Saccharomyces cerevisiae S288C: one gene and its partners. Each later gene encodes a partner of the first gene's protein in a complex. Each region holds a gene or a part of one and is shown in the gene's direction. Other genes may lie near its edges.

Evidence for each region. Proteins that work in one complex are often made in the same cells at the same time.
Region 2: POP4 (region 1) and POP8 share a complex: the UniProt entries of both Saccharomyces cerevisiae proteins name them as parts of the nuclear RNase P and RNase MRP complex.
Region 3: POP4 (region 1) and RPP1 share a complex: the UniProt entries of both Saccharomyces cerevisiae proteins name them as parts of the nuclear RNase P and RNase MRP complex.

Annotation. Positions count from the first base shown.
Region 1 is NC_001134.8:727,165-730,415, forward strand, and holds POP4 (RNase P/RNase MRP complex subunit), read left to right. Parts: upstream 1-1,720; coding exon 1,721-2,560; downstream 2,561-3,251. Other genes in the region: RIB5 (riboflavin synthase), read right to left, coding at 222-938; SHG1 (Shg1p), read right to left, coding at 2,570-2,998; YBR259W (uncharacterized protein), read left to right, coding at 3,223-3,251. UniProt on the Saccharomyces cerevisiae protein: Required for 5.8S rRNA and tRNA processing; associated with RNase MRP and RNase P.
Region 2 is NC_001134.8:185,498-188,255, reverse strand, and holds POP8 (ribonuclease P), read left to right. Parts: upstream 1-1,781; coding exon 1,782-1,828; intron 1,829-1,903; coding exon 1,904-2,258; downstream 2,259-2,758. Other genes in the region: PEP1 (type I sorting receptor), read left to right, coding at 1-1,412; DNA-(apurinic or apyrimidinic site) lyase APN2, read right to left, coding at 2,341-2,758. UniProt on the Saccharomyces cerevisiae protein: Component of ribonuclease P, a protein complex that generates mature tRNA molecules by cleaving their 5'-ends. Also a component of RNase MRP, which cleaves pre-rRNA sequences.
Region 3 is NC_001140.6:222,377-225,472, reverse strand, and holds RPP1 (RNA-binding RNA processing protein RPP1), read left to right. Parts: upstream 1-1,714; coding exon 1,715-2,596; downstream 2,597-3,096. Other genes in the region: 2-dehydropantoate 2-reductase PAN5, read left to right, coding at 304-1,443; GIC1 (Gic1p), read left to right, coding at 2,995-3,096. UniProt on the Saccharomyces cerevisiae protein: Component of ribonuclease P, a protein complex that generates mature tRNA molecules by cleaving their 5'-ends. Also a component of RNase MRP, which cleaves pre-rRNA sequences.

The DNA of each region.
Region 1 (3,251 bases):
GTGGAGAGAATAATTTGTACGGAAAAAGTTATACCTTTGCATGTCACGTGAACCAACAGAACATGGTAATACATAATGAAGAGAAGTTGCCTAAGTACCTTAGCTACAGTACCAAGTTCTAATCTCATCATTATCACACATTTACAAGACTATTTTTGCAGCAGATGGAGAGATCACTTCAAAAATGCGTTTATGAAACCTATTTATGACGAATTTTTTATTTATTTATTTAGGTAGTTTCTAACCTTCTCCTCGATAATGTTTGAGATCATAGTATTCAAAGTACTATCTTTCTTTGATATTTGGTTTTCCAACGTTAATAGAATTTGCTTCTCAATAATCTTCCCAGTCAAATCTACTTCAATATTAACCTCGTCGCCAATTTTCTTCAAAGGCATGATAACATTGTCTTGGGTGTGCTTTATCATACTAATATAGAAGGCTCCACCTTGCGAAAGTGGGTCAACCTTGATTATGGTCAAGGAAGTTCCATCTATACAAATGAATCCCTTTTCTACTATGTATTTAAAGTACTCTTGATCTCTTAACTGAAACCCAAAAATAATTGAATTCCCCTCAGGTCTTCTTGAGACAATATTAGCAACAGTGTCTACGTGACCCTGTACATAATGACCACCGAACCTAACGTCTTGAGATACCGCTCTCTCCAAGTTGACCTGGGTGCCTTGAATCCAGGAAGCGACATTACTTCGTTTTATAGTTTCTGGTGATATCCCAACTTTGAAGGAGTCGTTATTAAACTCGGTCACAGTAAGGCATACCCCATTTACGGCTATTGAATCTCCAACGTGACAATCGGTGAGAATACTCCCCGCATTGCCAATAGTAATAGAAACTCCTTGACCTCCACTTTCAGAGTCATCATATGGGTTGTTTTCCAAAACAGTCCCCATGCATTCTACAATACCAGTAAACATTGTGCTATGGTTACGATCTCACCAATTGGTTTGACATGTACGTTAGGAAGTACCGTCTTTTTATATCATTTGGATGGATCTGGAATATGACTAATAGATAGTTCAATAACCTTCCTCCATGGAAATTACCGAAAAAAAAGAAAAGGACGGAATTGGTACCCGGAGAGTACTTGGGCGGCTACTTTAGTTTTATATAAACCAATATCGAAGACAGTGATCTTTTTACAGCGAGCTTGAACACAAAATAACTACCGGGGGTAATCGTTCCCACAGAGGCAACATTAATGAATCCTGGGTTAACATTAATACCTACGCGACAAAAATCAATAAAAGAGATTGCTAGCCATAAATGAAAAAAGAGGAAAAAACATGCAGATTGTTTTTGAGCTTTTATGTCATAACAGGTGTATTTATAGCAGTATGAATAGTTTTACTAGCCAATATTCATTTTTTTTGAATCGATGTAAAATTTTTGGATACAAGAAAAATTGCACAATGTTAAATTTCTACAGAAAGCTCATGCAAAGGATGGAAAACTGAGCATTACTGGCAGCTTTGTGGGGTAGTTAAAGAAGTTTATTCTCCGTGGTTGCAGCTGTGGTGGTCTTTTTACTGCCTTTATATCCCAATTCATCCGCTTTTTACCCGGTCCGTTGATTTGAGAAAAAAAATGGTACTCAAAATAGTATGGCAAATATACTCGATGACATGAATAAGCGGAGAGCAATAATCTGTAAAGACTAAAGAAAATAAGCACGATTTGGACTCCCCTATTTGTCAGAATGGATAGAACTCAAACGTTTATTAAAGACTGTCTTTTCACGAAATGCCTGGAGGACCCTGAAAAGCCCTTTAATGAAAATAGATTTCAAGATACGTTGTTGCTACTGCCAACTGATGGCGGATTGACTTCAAGGCTTCAGAGACAGCAAAGAAAATCAAAGCTAAATCTTGACAATTTACAAAAGGTCTCCCAGTTAGAGAGTGCAGACAAACAGTTGGAAAAAAGAGATTACCAAAGAATCAACAAGAACTCTAAAATCGCATTAAGAGAGTACATCAATAATTGTAAAAAAAATACAAAAAAATGTCTGAAATTGGCATACGAAAATAAAATTACTGATAAGGAAGACCTTTTACACTACATAGAGGAGAAGCATCCAACGATATACGAATCATTACCGCAGTACGTTGATTTTGTACCGATGTATAAGGAACTATGGATTAACTATATTAAAGAACTTTTGAACATTACAAAAAACTTAAAAACATTCAATGGATCATTAGCATTATTAAAACTATCTATGGCAGACTATAATGGTGCGCTGTTACGCGTTACAAAGAGCAAAAATAAGACTTTAATAGGCCTTCAAGGCATTGTGATCTGGGACTCTCAGAAATTTTTTATCATGATTGTCAAGGGCAATATAATAGACGAAATAAAATGCATTCCAAAAAAGGGCACAGTATTTCAATTTGAAATCCCAATATCAGATGACGACGATTCGGCATTGAGATATAGTATACTAGGCGATAGGTTCAAGTACAGAAGTGTGGATCGTGCAGGCAGGAAGTTCAAAAGTCGTCGTTGTGATGATATGCTATATTATATACAGAATTAGTAAGAGTTATTACGTACTTCCATTTGCTTCCTCTTCATAAGAGTTCAGTGTTTCCTGAAGTTGTCCCTTTATCATTTCCAATAGTTTGGGATCCTGTAACTTAGACCGTACATAGACATCCAAGTCAAATTTCTTCTCACCATCACCATTATCCCCCTCCATTTTACTACCCAGCTTTAGGTAGTTGTCCTTGACCAATTGTGATTCAATCAATGCACTGGTTAGCCCTCTGTTTTTAAATATTAATTCTTCATCTTCGTTAACCATTTCTTTAACAGTACTGGCAACTCTTTTCCGAAGCGCTTGTTCAAAAGATTCACTATTCTCTTCTGTATTATTCCATGGGTTAGACAATATTTCTCTTTTCAACTTGTCAAAATGTCCCTCCTTCTTATACTTGTCTGATAGTCTTTTACTATCTTCTTGATTATACGCCATTTTTTGGATTTGAAATAAGCTCTACTCTCTTATACTGTGTTTCAGCTTCGCTAAATAAAGAACTGATTTTCTTACGTATTATTTCTCTAGTATCTCTCGTTTTCAAGATATAGAAAAATAAGACAAAAAAAAAGGCCATCATATTTATACAACGAAAAGTGTTTAATATGGAAGCAGCAAGCGGTATATGAACTCAGTTTTAAGGTGTAGTTTATTTTATAGTCATGTCCATTGACGAGGCTGTTGCCAGATA
Region 2 (2,758 bases), 540 kb from region 1:
ATATTAGAGATACATATTCTTCCGGTTCTGCATTAGGAATGATGTTCGGCGTTGGCAACGTTGGTCCTAACCTTTTACCATATAAAGAATGTTCCACCTTCTTCACCACCGATGGTGGCGAAACGTGGGCTGAAGTTAAGAAGACTCCTCACCAATGGGAATACGGTGACCACGGTGGGATTTTAGTTTTAGTTCCTGAAAACTCAGAAACTGATTCTATTTCCTATTCTACCGATTTTGGTAAAACATGGAAAGATTATAAATTCTGCGCTGATAAGGTTTTAGTAAAGGATATAACCACTGTTCCCAGGGATTCTGCTTTGAGATTTTTGCTGTTTGGAGAGGCAGCAGATATTGGAGGCAGCTCATTTAGAACGTACACAATTGATTTTAGAAACATCTTCGAAAGACAATGTGATTTCGACATCACTGGTAAGGAAAGCGCAGATTATAAATACTCTCCTCTGGGTTCCAAAAGCAATTGCCTATTTGGTCACCAAACCGAGTTTTTACGTAAAACCGATGAAAATTGTTTTATTGGGAATATTCCACTTTCTGAATTTTCAAGAAATATCAAAAACTGTTCTTGTACAAGACAAGATTTCGAGTGTGATTACAACTTTTACAAAGCTAACGATGGTACTTGTAAATTAGTCAAAGGACTAAGCCCAGCAAATGCTGCAGACGTTTGTAAAAAAGAGCCAGATTTAATCGAATATTTTGAATCGTCAGGCTACAGAAAGATCCCTCTATCAACCTGTGAGGGTGGCCTGAAATTGGATGCTCCCTCATCACCACATGCTTGCCCAGGAAAAGAAAAAGAATTCAAGGAAAAGTACTCAGTAAGTGCCGGTCCCTTTGCATTTATTTTCATTTCAATTCTTTTAATAATTTTCTTTGCCGCATGGTTTGTATATGACAGAGGTATCAGAAGAAATGGGGGATTTGCAAGGTTTGGAGAAATTAGGCTAGGTGACGATGGTTTAATAGAAAACAATAATACTGACAGAGTTGTCAATAACATTGTGAAATCAGGATTTTACGTTTTCTCAAATATCGGGTCTCTTTTACAGCACACAAAAACTAATATAGCGCATGCTATCTCCAAAATTAGAGGAAGGTTTGGAAACAGAACAGGTCCAAGCTACTCATCCCTGATCCATGATCAATTTTTGGATGAAGCAGATGACCTGCTTGCTGGCCACGATGAAGACGCCAATGACTTATCCAGTTTCATGGATCAGGGTAGTAATTTTGAAATCGAAGAAGATGATGTTCCAACACTTGAAGAAGAGCATACATCATATACAGATCAACCTACGACCACCGATGTTCCAGATACATTACCAGAAGGAAATGAGGAAAACATCGACAGGCCTGATTCTACAGCGCCATCTAACGAAAACCAGTAGAGAGATTACTTTACATAGAGTAGATAATTCCATATACTTTTCATAAACAAAAACGAGCAGATCCTTTAGACAGAATATCAAGTTCTTTCACAAGCCAAAGAAACTTGGCATGATCAGTACTGGTGCAATTCAAATAACTGCAAGTACTGAATCTCCATCTTCAAAGCAGAACCGTAATAATGCGTACAAGGAAGCGGGTGGGATATATCATATGTTACGGGAAAGTGGTTGTTTGACTGAAGATCATCGAGAACGTCATAACTTCAATACATAAGTCATCGCGTAATTTTACAAGCTTTACTGTTCAGCTTTATAGGATAATCAGAATAAGAAAAGGCAGATAAATAGTTTGATAAATGGCCAGTTGTGATGGGGAAAAAGACTTTTAGAGAATGGCAATATTTCAAGTTATCAATGTATGTATATTTTTGACTTTTTGAGTCTCAACTACCGAAGAGAAATAAACTACTAACGTACTTTAATATTTATAGTACTTCATTCGATCAAGATGTGGACGATGCACATGCTATTGATCAAATGACATGGAGGCAATGGTTAAATAACGCATTGAAACGTAGTTATGGTATTTTTGGTGAAGGTGTAGAATATTCATTCCTGCATGTTGACGATAAGCTGGCTTACATCAGAGTAAATCATGCGGATAAAGATACATTTTCTTCGTCCATCAGTACATACATATCTACTGATGAACTCGTCGGTTCACCATTAACAGTGTCAATTCTACAAGAATCTTCCAGTTTGAGACTTCTGGAGGTTACTGACGATGACCGCCTATGGCTGAAAAAAGTAATGGAAGAAGAAGAACAAGACTGTAAATGTATATAGAATATCAGTTTATTATTTAAAAAAACTTGGGCATAGAAGAAAGTGTTTTATTCTCCCAAAATATCAGCTGACGTTTTCATATTTAAACCCACTGAAAAAACCCACAAGATGATTCTGTATTATTTGAATCACCCCGAGATCTCTTGCAAATCCAGAACTTTCTACCTGGATTGGCCGAAGTTTTCGATGTTTTCAGCATGGATTCCTCCCCATGCCTGCACAGGGGAGGCTTTCCAAAGACATCCTTGAAATTCAACTTTGGCGTGGAGATTCTTTTTTTAGCTTGCTGTGGAATTTCAGAGGATTCTTTAATCCTGTCATCTTTTTCTCCATTTACCTTCTGGAAAAATGAGTCGAGCGATTTGTTTTTGATGTTGCTGTTTTTTTTGGTATTCATGACTTTTGATACACAATATTTTTGTTTATTAGATTCTTTATTCGTATCCTTTTTGGCAAACATCTCTAAAACATTATGGTTTCTTAAATTATATTTGTACCTT
Region 3 (3,096 bases), on another chromosome or scaffold:
TGGAACTATACAGCCCTTGAAAAAAGAACATATAAAATTAAGTCAAAAAATGCTATAGCAAGGTTATTATGGTTAGGTTTGTGACTTTCTGTTGAGTCACGTTCTATTCAAATTCATATTTCATGTTTCCGATTTCTTTTTTTTATAGATTGGCGGCCGCTAACGGTTTCTCGAGAAAGGCTTATCGTGCCATTCAGCTTAATACAAATATATTAAAAAAACAAGATACTTTATACTCACCTTTGTATGTTACGATCGATAGGAGAAATCGATAATATACGTATACGATAAAGTCTGTACAATATGACTGCACCACACAGAAGTACTATTCATATTCTTGGGTTGGGTGCCATGGGTACCGTTTTGGCAGTTGACCTTTTAAGATTTACCAATGCCCTAGTTGTGCCCTTATTTAGATCACAAGAAAGACTTGCACAATTTCAGAAGACAAATGGGAACAACATTTCGATTCGCAAACTTTATTTGGAAGGCTCGCCAATATTTTCTTATCCAGTGGAGAAATGCGAATGCCCTGAAACTTTCTCTAAAAAACCTATTGACAACTTAGTCGTCACTACAAAGACTTACCAAACCAAAGAAGCACTAGCTCCTTATTTGCCTTATATTAATAAAAATACAAACTTAATTTTGATTCAGAATGGACTGGGCGTTTTAGAACTATTGAGAGAAGAAATCTTTACAGATTCAAAAAACAGACCACATTTATTTCAGGGTGTCATTTCTCATGGCGTTTATCAGGATAAAGCAGGAGTTTTCAATCATGCTGGGTGGGCTGGTATGAAAATTGCCAAATTGCCTTGGACTGAGGAAGAAATGATTCAAAAAAAATCCGTAGTCGAGGACGATGCAGCCAATAACTCATTAGTAAAATTATTAACAGAACCAAAATTTGCCAAGGAATTTGGAATAGAACATTCCACTTATCAAGAAATGCTCTTTGGTCAATTATTTAAATTTTTGGTTAATGCATGCATGAATCCAGTTACGGCTATTCTAGATTGTGTCAATGGTGAGATGAAGGCCAGTTGCGGTCCAGTTTTCACATCTATTATTGACGAGTGTTTACAAATATTGAGAGTTGCTTATAGGCCATTGTTTCAATACCACGAAAAATACAGCGGTAATGAAGAATACCCAGAAATGGATGTCAATGCAGTACTGACAACCGATAACATGGTCTCCGAAGTCACTAGAATTGGCTGTGACATCAATTCTAGGAACAGTAGTTCAATGAGACAAGACACTTTGTTCTTAAGAGACATTGAAATTGAGTATATCAATGGCTATGTCGTCAAATTGGCTGATAACTTAAATCTAGACCCAAACTGCTGCAAGGTTAATAAAACTATCGGAGAATTGGCCACTATGAGATTAGCATTGAACAGGTCGAGAAGTATCAATGGTGACTGGAGAAAGGACTGAAAATGCGCGGATATCAGCCAGAACATATACATTTATAAATACTGATATATATACACTCTTAATGCTTTATTCGAGCGAACCTTAACAGTCTGAAGGCAGATTAATTTGTCAAGTGCCTCTCTTTTGTTACTACTACCAGAAAACATGAAAAATGTATGTGCGATGCCCAGAATTTTACCTCGCATAAATGAAAAAATTTCATTTTACCAGTAGAAAATACTTAACCTAAACAGACACAAAAAACAAAAGTGAAAGCATTATAGAACCGAGAATGCTGGTAGATTTGAATGTACCGTGGCCACAGAACAGCTATGCAGACAAAGTTACTTCTCAGGCGGTCAACAATTTAATAAAAACGTTATCCACATTGCATATGTTGGGATATACACACATCGCCATAAATTTTACAGTAAACCACAGCGAGAAATTCCCCAACGATGTTAAGCTGTTAAATCCTATCGATATCAAGAGAAGGTTTGGAGAATTGATGGATCGAACAGGGCTAAAATTATACAGCAGGATCACGCTAATTATCGACGATCCATCGAAGGGACAGTCTCTTTCCAAGATAAGCCAGGCCTTTGATATTGTAGCAGCATTGCCAATCAGTGAAAAGGGCCTTACTTTATCAACTACCAATCTGGATATTGACTTGTTGACCTTTCAGTACGGGTCGCGCCTGCCTACTTTCCTTAAGCATAAAAGCATATGCAGCTGTGTGAACAGAGGAGTAAAACTTGAAATTGTTTATGGCTATGCTTTGCGTGACGTACAAGCTCGGAGGCAGTTCGTATCCAATGTAAGAAGCGTCATCAGGAGTTCGAGGTCCAGAGGCATTGTTATCGGCAGTGGTGCCATGTCACCACTTGAGTGCCGCAACATATTAGGAGTAACAAGTCTAATCAAGAATTTAGGTCTTCCGAGCGATAGGTGTTCGAAGGCCATGGGAGACCTAGCTTCACTCGTCCTCCTAAATGGCCGCTTAAGGAATAAGAGCCACAAACAGACCATTGTTACCGGTGGTGGTAGCGGAAACGGCGATGACGTGGTCAACGATGTTCAAGGCATCGACGACGTCCAGACCATCAAGGTAGTGAAAAGGAGTATGGATGCTGAACAATTAGGCCATGCTTCCAAAAGACACAAGCCTTAAAACGATACGCTAACCTATAACATATAATGTATAAATGATAATTAAATACGTACCCGGGTAGTAGACATCGCTATTATCATCACAATCCACGAATCGCGACGCGAATTCGCGAAAAGACAACAACAATAAAGGAAAAAAAAAACAAAGAAATTTTTCGACGATTTCCATAGAGAAGGAAAACAACGAATAGACAAAAAAATTTGGGGATCCAAGGCATATTCTGTTACATTGTACCTGTAGGATTTACTGAGAGCTGAAACCATTGAAAACTATTCTGCAATTAATTATCTTCGTACGGACTATCACTACTTTTTTTTAAGAAAGACTTATTTCTATTGTTTATTGTTTATAATTCACTCTGAATACTCGCTTATTAATTGTGTGATAAATTCTAAAGGATGACTGAAGGAAAGAGGCTGCAACAGATGGAGCTTCCTCAAATGAAATCCATTTGGATTGACGAGGATCAGGAAATGGAAAAATTGTATGGATTCCAAGTA